Linked DNA regions of Cricetulus griseus. The protein of the gene in region 1 purifies or fractionates together with the protein of each later gene. This does not show direct contact. Links are inferred from orthologs where the notes say so. Each region holds a gene or a part of one and is shown in the gene's direction. Other genes may lie near its edges.

Region 1 (3,948 bases):
TCACCAGCCTAGCTCAGGTTCAGACCCTATATCAAGAGAATAAGGCAGAGAGTGGCAGAGCAGGACATCTAACATTCTCCTCTGGCCTCTGTATGACAGTGTTAAAGCACTGTCAGTGTCTGTAATAGGATTTTATGGTAAGAATCCCCTTGAAAAGTCGGGCGTTGGTGGTGCACGCCTTTAATCCCAGCACTCAGGAGGCAGAGGCAGGCAGATCTCTGGGAGTTCGAGGCCAGCCTGGTCTCCGGAGCGAGTGCCAGGACTGGCTCCAAAGCTATATAGAGAAACCCTGTCTCGAAAAACAAAACAAACAACAACAACAAAAAAAAGAGAATTCCCTTTAAGGCTTATTTTGTCTTTAAAAAGGAAAGAGAGTATGTTGGAGGCTAGGGTGACCCTGACAACCATCCATCCAGCCCTTCCCTGGCATTTGGCTGTCATGACTACCATCCAAGCAGCCCCCTCTTGGCATCCACCTGGCCTGTTGTCATAGCAACCTGGAAGCTCCTGGATGCTCCACAGACACCTCCTGGAAGCTACACGTCTACAACCACTTAATTCTGAAAGACAACTCCTGCTGGAGCAGGCACTATTCTAGCCCTGACTGTTGCCTATTTACACGGCTTTTTTTTTGCCATCAGAAGCCTCTGTAAACCTCAGCGGCCATTTCACCCAGGCCCAAGGGTAAACCCTTTGCCTGATAAGGCAACAAAAAGCCTGGTGTTGGTGCAAATGGGGTCTTTTCAGTAGCCCTGATGTGGCTCTTTGGGACTATTTTCCTGGAGACCAGGTGGCTCCCGTGCTGCCCCCTGGTGGTGCAACACTAACCCCGGGCCTTGTGCAAACTCCTTTGCTCCACCGATGGGATCTTTATCATAGAGGGGGCGGGATCCATGGCGCGCAGAGGGACAGACGGCAGAACCACCGGCCAAGCAGCAGTAGCCAGGACGCTGACAGCCGGGCAGTGAATTTAGAGGCAGCTGCAGCGACATTAGGGTGACTGAAGATTTCCAGAAACAGGCCAGGGGTAGGGAGCAGGGGTAGTGAGGAGCAAATGGGGGGGGGGAGAGGGGGTTGGAAACGCATATGCGCAGCCTGGAGACCCAGAGATCTTCAAGTTCCGGGCGGGCCCGGGCCTCGCTGCAAAACGAGCACACGCTGCTCTTGCAGAAGACGCAGGATCGGGTCCCACCCCCGCCTGCAACTGCAGCTCCAGGGGGGATCCGCTGCCCTCCCGCCCTCCCTCTTCTGCACAGCACGCGCGTGGTGCACAGACAACGCGGCGTGCCGCCGGAACGCCTCCGGGGCTAAAGTGTAAAAAAAAAATAATAAGCAAACCTTCGAGAAAAAAAAATAAAATAAACCACGGTTCGAGTATAACCAACCCCTGACTCTTAGAGCGAAAAAGCCGCCGCGGCGGGGCGGGCGAGGGAAGCCCGCAGAGATTGCAGAATTCCCGCCCAAGGCACGGCACTTCCGGGAGAGGGGAGCGGGGGCGGGGCCACGCGCTGCCGTCACGCGCCGCGCGTCGCCCCGCGCATGCGCTCCTCTCCACGTGCGAGCGCCGGAGACGCGTGGAGTCCGGGGACGCTGCTGATTGCGGGAGCCGCGCGGCCGGGAGGGACGCAGCGATGAAGCCAGGTAGCGGCGGCGGCGGCGGCACGGGCTGGAGCGGGGCTCCGGGCACCGCGGCGGGACGGACGGACGGAGGGAGGGAGGGAGGGCGGCCGGGGGCTGCTCGGGAGCCGGGGAGTGTGACCGCACAGACCGGCCTGCAGCCTCGCCGCTGCATCCCGGCCCTCCTGACCCCGGCTCCGGGGCGGGGCGGGGGAGAGAGGGGCACCCGGCTTGGATCGTAGGTGGGACGGCTCCGGATCGCGTGCTTCCCTCTTCCCGCTGTCACCGCTGCCCCAGGGGGGACGAGTGAGGACCTCCGGGGCGGTGCTGCGCGGCGATCGCGTGCGCGGCTCGCCCTCTCTCTCCCTCGCTCGCCCGCTGCGCTTCCGGGAGGGGCGGGGTCCTAGCCCCGGAGGAGCTGACGATCGGGGGGTCGGGAGCCCCTGCTCGGCGCCGCGAGACGCTTTGCAAGCCTGGCCTTAGCCGGCAGGGCGATCAGAAGTGAGAGCGGTTGGTGTTGGTCTGAGTTTTTTGAGACTGCGTCTCGCTAGGAGACGCTGGCTGGCCTTGGAACTCACTCTGGAGACCAGGCTGGCCTCGAACTCAGAGATCCGCCAGTGCCTCTGCCTCCCCCGATTGCTGGGATTTAAGGCGGGCGCCACCGCCGCCCGGCGGGACAAAAATGTTTCCTTTATTTCCCGCCCTTTTTCTGGTGGATGAATCCACCGCACGGTGGACGCTGGTGCGCGTTCTGGTTTTGACAGTAGGAGCGTCTCTTTTCTTTCTCTGATTTTTTTTTATTTGGTTTTTTTCCGAGATTGGGTTTCCCTGTGGCTTTGGAGGCTGTCCTGGAACTAGCTCTTGTAGACCAGGCTGGTCTCGAACGCACAGAGGTCCTCCTGCCTCTGCCTCCCGAGTGCTGAGATTAAAGTTGTGCGCACCACCAACGCCCGGCTTCTTTCTCAGATTCTTAATGCTTAAGTGGCTTTTTGTTTTGTTTTGGTAATGTGTGACTCCGGGCTGTGGCAGCCCATGCTTGTCAGTCCCGGTACTCGGGAAGCTGGGGTAGGTGGGTGAGGAGTTTGACACCAGCGTGTGCTACAGTAATGATAGCATGAGCTTTGCACCGGTGCCCAAGGATCAGTTTTCGCTAATGGCAGGTTTTTGCCTGGCGTGCGCCCACATGTTCCTGTAGACGGATGAGAGCCAGTGCAGGGTATAGTGACCCATCTTCCCCTCCCAAGCATGTTGAATAGAATTTCTGGGATCCCCCCCCCACCCCCCCCCGTTGGGGAAGTCTGGCGAAGCGAAGGAGGGTGGAGGGATTGCTGTGTGTTCTACGGCTATCCTGTGCTCTGTGATTCCCCCCACCCCGCCCCAGGAGGACTTTTCCCTCCAACCTTTCTCTACCAAATGATGGAAGAAGTTGTGTGGTGACAGTTTGTCTTGGATGACAGAACCAGCTTTGGAGGAATCCTTTTGTTGTTTTTGTTTGTTTTTTGCTTTTTTTTGTTGTTGTTTTTTGGTTCTTTGAGTTAGATGGGGTTTCTCTGTGTAACCACCCTCGATGTCCTGGAATTTGCTTTGTAGACCAGGCTGGCCTCCAACTCTCAGAGATCCTCTTGCTTCTTCTCCCCCCAGTGCTGGGATTAAAGACCTGTGCCACCATTACCAGCTGGGGGAGATTTTTTTTTCAGTTTTTTTTAATTTGAATTAGAAACAAGATTGTTTTATATGACAATCCCAGTTTCCCTTCTCCCTCCCTCCTCCCCTGCCACCCCCCCCCCACTAAAACCCTATCTATTACATATCCTTTCTGCTCCCCCTGGATGGTGAGGCCTTCCTTAGGGTGTCATCAGAGTCTATCATATCCTTTGGGATAGGGCCTAGGCCCACCCCAGTGTGTCTTGGCTCAGGGAGTGTCCCTCTATGTGGAATGGGCTCCCAAAGTCCACACGTATGCTAGGGATAAGTACTGAACTACCACAGGAGGTCCTGTAGATTTCTGAGGTCTCCCACTGAAACCCATGTTCCTGGGGTCTGGATCAGTCCCATGCTGGTTTCCCAGCTGTCAGTCTGGGGAGCAAGAGTTCGCTGGGGGAGACTTTTAAGCAGACGTGTGCTGTAGAATCTGGTGGGCATTTTTAAACAAGGCCATTTGTTGTTTTTATGTTTGTGTTTTGAACTGGGATCTTGTTGTATAGCCTAGGCTGACCTCAAACTCACCCTCCCCAAGCGGTGGGATTGCGGGCAGGTGATACCTCGCTCTGCTGGAAAGCTACTAGAGGGAAGATTGTGGGCATGCCATCTCTTTGAGTAATGGAGTCTTTT
Region 2 (3,500 bases), on another chromosome or scaffold:
GCTGGATTGAAAGAGTATTTGGGAAATGTGGCAACGTGGTTTATATAAGTATTCCACATTACAAGTCTACTGGGGATCCTAAGGGATTTGCCTTTGTGGAGTTTGAAACAAAAGAACAAGCAGCAAAAGCCATTGAGGTACGTCTGTAGAACCCTGAAAATTAAAAAGAAAAAGATTAGTATGAATAAGTTTGCCATGATTTTTCCAATTTTCATTTCAGTTTCTTAACAACCCACCAGAAGAGGCACCAAGAAAACCTGGCATATTTCCTAAGACAGTGAAAAACAAACCCATCCCTTCCTTAAGAGTAGCTGGTGAGTACCCACCTAATTCTTAGGAGGTAAATATTGAATTGGTAGAATATAAAATTATTTGAACATTGCTGTTACAGAAGAGAAAAAGAAGAAGAAAAAGAAAAAAGGGAGAATAAAGAAGGAAGACAGTATGCAGGCCAAAGAGTTAAATATGGAGGACACAAGCGGCATGGGTGTGTGTAAAGGCAAGAGACCAAGGACTGCCTCTGAGGGCTCTGAAGCAGAAACTCCTGAAGCTCCAAAGCAACCTGCAAAGAAGAAGAAAAAACGGGAGAAGACTGAGCCGTCTGTCTTACCTGAAGTTAGAGCAGGGAAAAGGGAAAGAAGCAGTGCTGAGGATGAAGACTGCCAGACCCCCAGGCCAAAAGCCAAGAAGAGGGCGCAGAAAGATGGCATTAGCCAAGCCGCTTCTGAAATCTCCAAGGAAAGCAGAGGTACCATGTTGAAAACAGTGCAAACATTTTAGGTACTTCGCAAAGCACACAACTTGTCTTATGGCAAATCTTTTTTCTAGACTTAGAATTCTGCTCTACAGAGGAGGAGAAGGAGACAGGAGATAGAAAAGGTGACTCACTCCTAAAAGTAAAAAGAAAGCATAAGAAAAAACACAAGGAGAGACATAAAATGGGAGAAGAGGTTATACCGTTGAGAGTGCTGTCCAAGTAAGTACCAATTTTCAGTAGCAGTTGACAGAACTCCATCACCATTGCTAAAGTGCAATTCCAATTTCTATTTAACAGAGTTGCATATTAGCAACAGTGACGGCCTACGGTCCTTTGGCAATATAAAGATGATAAGTAGGAGCCACCACACTCAAACATGAAAGCACTTATTTTTATAAGGTCACAGCAAGTGCCTCCATGTTAAAGTAAAGGAGGCTCCTTAAGCAGCAATCAGTTAAGTCCTCTTAAAGGCTTGAGAATGGAAAAGGAAAGCTTACCATCACCAAAACATGGGAGCACTTACTTTCTTAATCCCAAAGCAAGTACATCCACGTTTAAGTAATGGGGAGCCCAGTCTTTACATTTACTAAGTTCTAGTCCTTAAAATGTAACATTTTTAAATTAAGGAAATGCTGAATGGGTTGAGACACCTCCACTGAAACATGGAAGCACTTACTTTAATTTAACACAGCAGGTATCCCCATGTTAAAGCAGAAGGGACTCCCAACGGGTTAGCTTATCAATGCTAAAGGTGTACATTGAATTCACTTCTACTAAAACTTGGAAGCACTTACTCTTTTTACAGTGAGACAGAAAGCACTCCCATGTTAAAGTTGAAGGGAACCCACCCACAAGGCAACTTCTTTGTAAAGCTAGGGTAACCTAGGAGGAAATTAAATGACAAATTACCTTTGTGAACTGGATCCCAAAGAATCTCCTTCTCTGCTTGGAGGGTAAAACACAGTGACTTTAGACCACTTGTATTTATACTACTCCTAACTCCTGAATTCCTTTTGGCGTCTTTATCTCAGAGAATCATTACAAGAGCCTTTGTTATTTTAATGTATCAGCATCAGCTCTCAGGGAAAGTAGATCCTGGGGATCCTGGGTAGGTCTGGATTTTTTTTTTTTTTTTTTTTTGAAGTAAACAGATGTCAATGTTAACTGCTAAAACCATTACCACAAGATACCCTTCTCTTTAAAAAAAAAAAAAAAAAAAAAAAACTCCTATCTGCTTGTTTGATGGCACAGATTAGGGTAACAATGAGCACTCCCACTGAGCCAGGAGATGCATTGTGCTTCTCTCTGGAGGAGCCCTGGCTGTTTGAAGAGACATCTACATGGTAAATGTATGTAAATAAATAAATTGCTACCATGGGGTGTTTTTTTCTTCTTAGAAATTCTTTTGATTCAAGTAAATCCTAAGGAATGTTATCTCTCAAATTGGAAGCAATTTAACAAATCTTTGAATTTTAGTTTCTCACTTTACCCCAAAGTTGCCTTATTTTGCTTTTACAATTAAAAATTTTAGAAACATATCAGGAACTTAACTGGGAAATTAAAGCATTTTACCTGAATATTTATGAAAAGGAACTTCATTTGTTTGTTTGCTAGATAGATTTACAGCCTAAAAACTAATTGAGTGCACCTTTTTAAAAGAAATGGGAATTTTTATGAACGTCTATTTCATTCACCTTCAGATTTCTCAATGAGTCATCTGGTCACTATTTCAGTAGTTCAATTTTTTGTTTTACAGGACTGAATGGATGGATTTGAAAAAAGAGTATTTGGCACTACAAAAAGCCAGTATGGCTTCTCTAAAAAAAACAATATCTCAAATAAAATTGGAGTCAGAAATGGAAACCGACTGTACAGTGCCCAACAAGTCTGGAGTGAAGAATGGAAAAGGTGAAGCTCACTTTCATAGCATTTAGTGTTATACTACACTGTGGACCCTGGGTGTAGGAGTGATAGACTGGATTCCCCAGTTTTGAACTGAACCATTACCAGAAAAAAAAAAATTTAAAGAAAGAAAAAAATTGAAGTGTTCATATTAAACAGTAGGCTTTTTAAGAGCCTGCTTACTCTCCATTACCAGCAAGTTACTCATGAGTGACTGGGCATAGTAATAAAGACTGCAGTTTTAGTAGAAGATGAACCCAGAACAGGGACATATTAGAGAATTATTATTGATTGTAACATTAGTAAAGGCTTTTTAGTTATAAATATTTTTATTTATTGTAGTTCATTTATTTATTTTACATCCCAGCCATAGCCTCCCCTCCATTCTCCTTTCCCAGTCCCTCCTCCCTATTCCCCAAATTATTACATTTGAATAGTATATTTTGAATATCCTTATATTTCTATTGACATCTATCTTTATTTGAATTTTATTCTTTGGTTCAGGGCAATAATGCATTTTATTTCCTATTAATTTCCAAATGAGCAGTTTGATGCATTAATATTAACATTACACAAGTTCTTTAAAGTCTGAGAAATCACTCCTGCTGTTGTAGAGTAGCTAGTGCTGCTCTGTTAAAGGTCAGGAGTGAGAAAATTTTTATCTGTAGCCTTTTCCTTTTCACAGTCAGCCATCCAGAATGCTGCACCCAGGAGAAGGTTAACAACCAAGGCCCACAATTCGTGAATGGAGTTATTGTGAAGATCATGAGCACAGAGCCTCTACCTGGCAGGAAACAAGTCAGGGTAATGTTTATGATGCCTGTGTAAAAACAAAACAAGA
Region 3 (3,500 bases), on another chromosome or scaffold:
CTCATTGTAAAACCAGAACTGATTCATTAAAAACATCTTTTTGTGAAAGGCTCTTTGGAAATCGATGCCTCTCTGAAATTGCTTCTGAAACCCAGAGGCATGGGTTTGGTTCAGAGAGACCACAGTTTGAAATCTTGTTTGGTTCCTAGTCCTTACTGTTTTCCTTCACTTCTTTCCCTTGACAGTCTAGAATTCCAGGCAGCACTAGCTTTGGATTCACCATGCTTTGCAAACAAAGCATGCTTTGGAAATTTCTTTTAAAAAGTAAGCCTATATAGTAGAGATGGAAGCCTCTGAACATCTTAGTCATCTAATGGTAGCTGCATACAGCAGTTTCAGGTACCACTTTGATGTGAAATCCTTGTACATGGACTCTTAACATGAAGAGTCTAGTTACGTTCCAGGCATGAGAATGAGAGCAGGCCTCCTAGTCAGCATGGCATAGTAGCTCCTTGTTCTTTAGTTTTCAAAACTACACAAAACATGTAACCAAGAATCCATAAGAGCAGTTACACTTTTCAGTTCAACTCAAGCACTTGGATCAATTTTATGCTGGTCTTATAACAAGGTGACCCTGGGCAGCATCCCTGGATTTGTATTAAAGTAAACCTGGAGGCTGAAGACACACTCATCTACTAAGAGCACTGACTGCTCTTTTAGGGGACCAGGGTTTGATTCCCAGCACCCTCATGCTCACAACTAGCTGTAACTCCAGTCCCTGCGGATCTGACACCCTCTTCTGGCCTCTACAGTCACTGTCCATATGTGGTACATATATCCAAGCAAAATACCCATATACATAAAAATAGGATAAACCCATAGCCTTCCATCAGGCAATTCCTGGCCCTTCTCTGCTATTACTCCACCCTCCTTGGCTTTTTTAGATGAATAGTCTGTTAGCATCTGTTTTATTTTTATTATCTAGATTCCCATTAGCTTTTATAATTCATTCCATAGGAGGCTGAAAGTCTAGCTAAGTGGTAAATGATATTAGCATATCCAAAGCCCCGGGTTCAATCCTCAGCATCAAAAATAAACTGTATTCCATATGTAGTGCAGGGGATAGGTGGGTGCTGACTCACTGTAGCTTATTTTCATTGGTTTATATGTAGGAGGGTAGATAGGTAGAGAAGAATAAGGATATTTTTGACGTTTTTGTTTTGTTTTTAATGTGTCTGAATGTATGCCATGTGTATGCAATTGGCACACAGGCCAGAAGATGCCATCAGATCCCTTAGAACTGGGGTTACAGATGTTGTGATCTACCCCCAGCATGGGTTCTGGGAACCAAACTCAAGATCAACAAGTGTTCTTAACCTCTGAGCATAGTTTGCCTGCCCCCAGAACTTGGGGCTTCCCTTTGTCTACCACATACCTCCTGTTCTGACTGGCTGGGCCTTTCCACTGCATTCACTATTTCCTTGATTTTTACCAATCTGATAATCTGATTAATGATTAAGATTATATGTTAGAAGGTAGAAATTTCTCGGTTAATAAATCTCTTAAAGGGGTAGGAGGGGGAGTGCAAGATGGAAATCTTTTCTGTATAAGAGGGTTAATCCCAGCACTCAGGAGGTTGAAGCAGGTAGATCTTTGTGAGTTTGAGGCCAGCCTGGTCTTCAGAGTAACTTTCAGGACAGCCAGGGTTTAAAGAAACAAAGAAAAGAACTTAGAGTTCTTAATTTGCTGGTTTGAAATGTTACAAAGACCAGTGCAAGTGTTGCAGAGCAAAGAGCTCCTTGGCAGGTAATTATTCTTATTGCCCAATTGTTTGATTAGCATCCTTAATATTAACTTAATATTAATGGAAAAGGGGGTTGCTTTTATCTCCTCGAGTCAGTAGCTATGTTCTAGTAGACCCCAAAAATCAGTTATACAGATACACAGAGATATGTAAAGTAACACAAAAGAACATCAGGTAGAGGAAGTGAACAGAGATAGAGATCCAGGAAAGAGCTAATTTGAAAAGTACAGGCTCTACTCAAAAAACAGTAAACATTGTTGTGCAATGGAGAGAGTAGCGTGAGCAAAGGGAGTTGGGTATCTTAGGAGTAGGTAGGTGATGATGCTCGTATGTAAAGGGCCTACCACCAAGCCTGATGGCCTAAGTTTAATCCCTGGAACCCACATGGTGACCCATACAAGTTGGCCTCTGGCCTCCACCTACAAAGAAAAAAATTAAAGCTGAGTTTCTTAGGAAAGTGGGTTCTTAGATGTCTGTGCTAAAACTGACATGACGTGCAGGCTTTATCCATTTTCTTTTCCTCTGAATCCTTAGATTATGGCACTGGTGAGATGGCATCTGTAGAACAGCATAGCATAGTGATCTGACTCACATCGAGACAGTCTGAAGCAAGTGTTTCTACAATGAGTACTATATTAATGCATACCTGGCAGGCAGTGGTGAATGAGGTGCTCCTTTATTTAAAGTACTTTCATAAAAAAGACAGTCTTTCTCTTACAGATAGTTTATGTTAGGGGAATAAAAACTTTTGAAAATCATGTTTGTGCTGAGCATGGCAATGAACACCTTTAATCTCAGGAGGCAGAGGCAGAATATCTGAGTTTGATGACAGCCTGGTCAACAAAGTAGACTAGCCAGAGCTACTTAATGATACAATGAAGAAAAAGAAGAAAAAAGATCCTGCAAGTATGTATGACTTCTGTGTTCTTCCTGACAGGTGGCATCCTTGGCTGGTCCTGGAGGGCAAGTGGAAATAGAACAGAACTTTCTTAATAACAAATTAAAGACAATCACAGCATATTTTGGTGACCTGATCAGAAGACCAGCCTCTGAAGCTGAAGTGTGAGGACAGCAAGATCATGTGGAGTTAGAGACATTTGAATGAGAGACGCTTAGAAAGGTCTTCTACAATCTTTGATACTGTATGCAATGTGATATGGGAACCTTTGTGAGTTTTAATGAATACTAATGAAGTGGTTTGGATCTTTAGGTAATGTTAACTGAGCTTGTGTTCTGTACTTTAAAACAATAAGCATCCGGCCAGGAGGTGGCAGGTGCCTGTTATAATCCTAGTACTTCAGAGGTTCAAGGTCATCCTGTGCTGCATAAATTCAAGGCCAGCCTGAGTTACATGAGACCTTGCCTCAAAGAAATAGTCTAGGCATGACACTGTACTTAAATTAAGTATGTCTGTATATATGTGTGTATTTCTTTCTATACTGTAACTGTATTTTGGTTTAACCTCTTTGTGTGTATGTATGTAAAATAATTATTGCGTTTTTTTTTAAAAATGCAAAGAAAAAGAAAAAAATTCTGCCTACACATTTAACCCCTAGTGAAATAATGTTACCAATTTAATGATATAACAAAAAAAGTAAAACTCTCCCATTATCTTACCTATTTTTTATTCAGCTGTCTAAAGATAATCACAGTTAGCAGTGTATTTTACTTTTTTATTACATTTTTATTTCATGTGTGTGCATAGAAGTTAGAGGACAACTTGTAGAAATCTGTTCTCTACTTCTACCGTGTGTGT

What was found.
Region 2: the proteins of Fbl (region 1) and Larp7 purify together in Homo sapiens (affinity purification with mass spectrometry; 3 studies listed by BioGRID and IntAct, counting the BioPlex papers as one, with this or other methods). This does not show direct contact. The link is inferred for Cricetulus griseus from reciprocal best matches to the Homo sapiens genes FBL and LARP7.
Region 3: the proteins of Fbl (region 1) and Tgs1 purify together in Homo sapiens (affinity purification with mass spectrometry; 3 studies listed by BioGRID and IntAct, counting the BioPlex papers as one, with this or other methods). This does not show direct contact. The link is inferred for Cricetulus griseus from reciprocal best matches to the Homo sapiens genes FBL and TGS1.

The regions. Positions count from the first base shown.
Region 1 is NC_048602.1:7,928,659-7,932,606, reverse strand, and holds the start of Fbl (rRNA 2'-O-methyltransferase fibrillarin), read left to right. Parts: upstream 1-1,494; 5' UTR 1,495-1,631; coding exon 1,632-1,641; intron 1,642-3,948.
Region 2 is NW_023276806.1:31,277,390-31,280,889, forward strand, and holds part of Larp7 (la-related protein 7), read left to right. Parts: coding exon 1-137; intron 138-220; coding exon 221-314; intron 315-391; coding exon 392-748; intron 749-828; coding exon 829-976; intron 977-2,513; coding exon 2,514-2,665; intron 2,666-3,344; coding exon 3,345-3,463; intron 3,464-3,500. UniProt on the Homo sapiens protein: RNA-binding protein that specifically binds distinct small nuclear RNA (snRNAs) and regulates their processing and function.
Region 3 is NC_048595.1:156,506,870-156,510,369, reverse strand, and holds part of Tgs1 (trimethylguanosine synthase), read left to right. Parts: intron 1-2,681; coding exon 2,682-2,810; 3' UTR 2,811-3,500. UniProt on the Homo sapiens protein: Catalyzes the 2 serial methylation steps for the conversion of the 7-monomethylguanosine (m(7)G) caps of snRNAs and snoRNAs to a 2,2,7-trimethylguanosine (m(2,2,7)G) cap structure.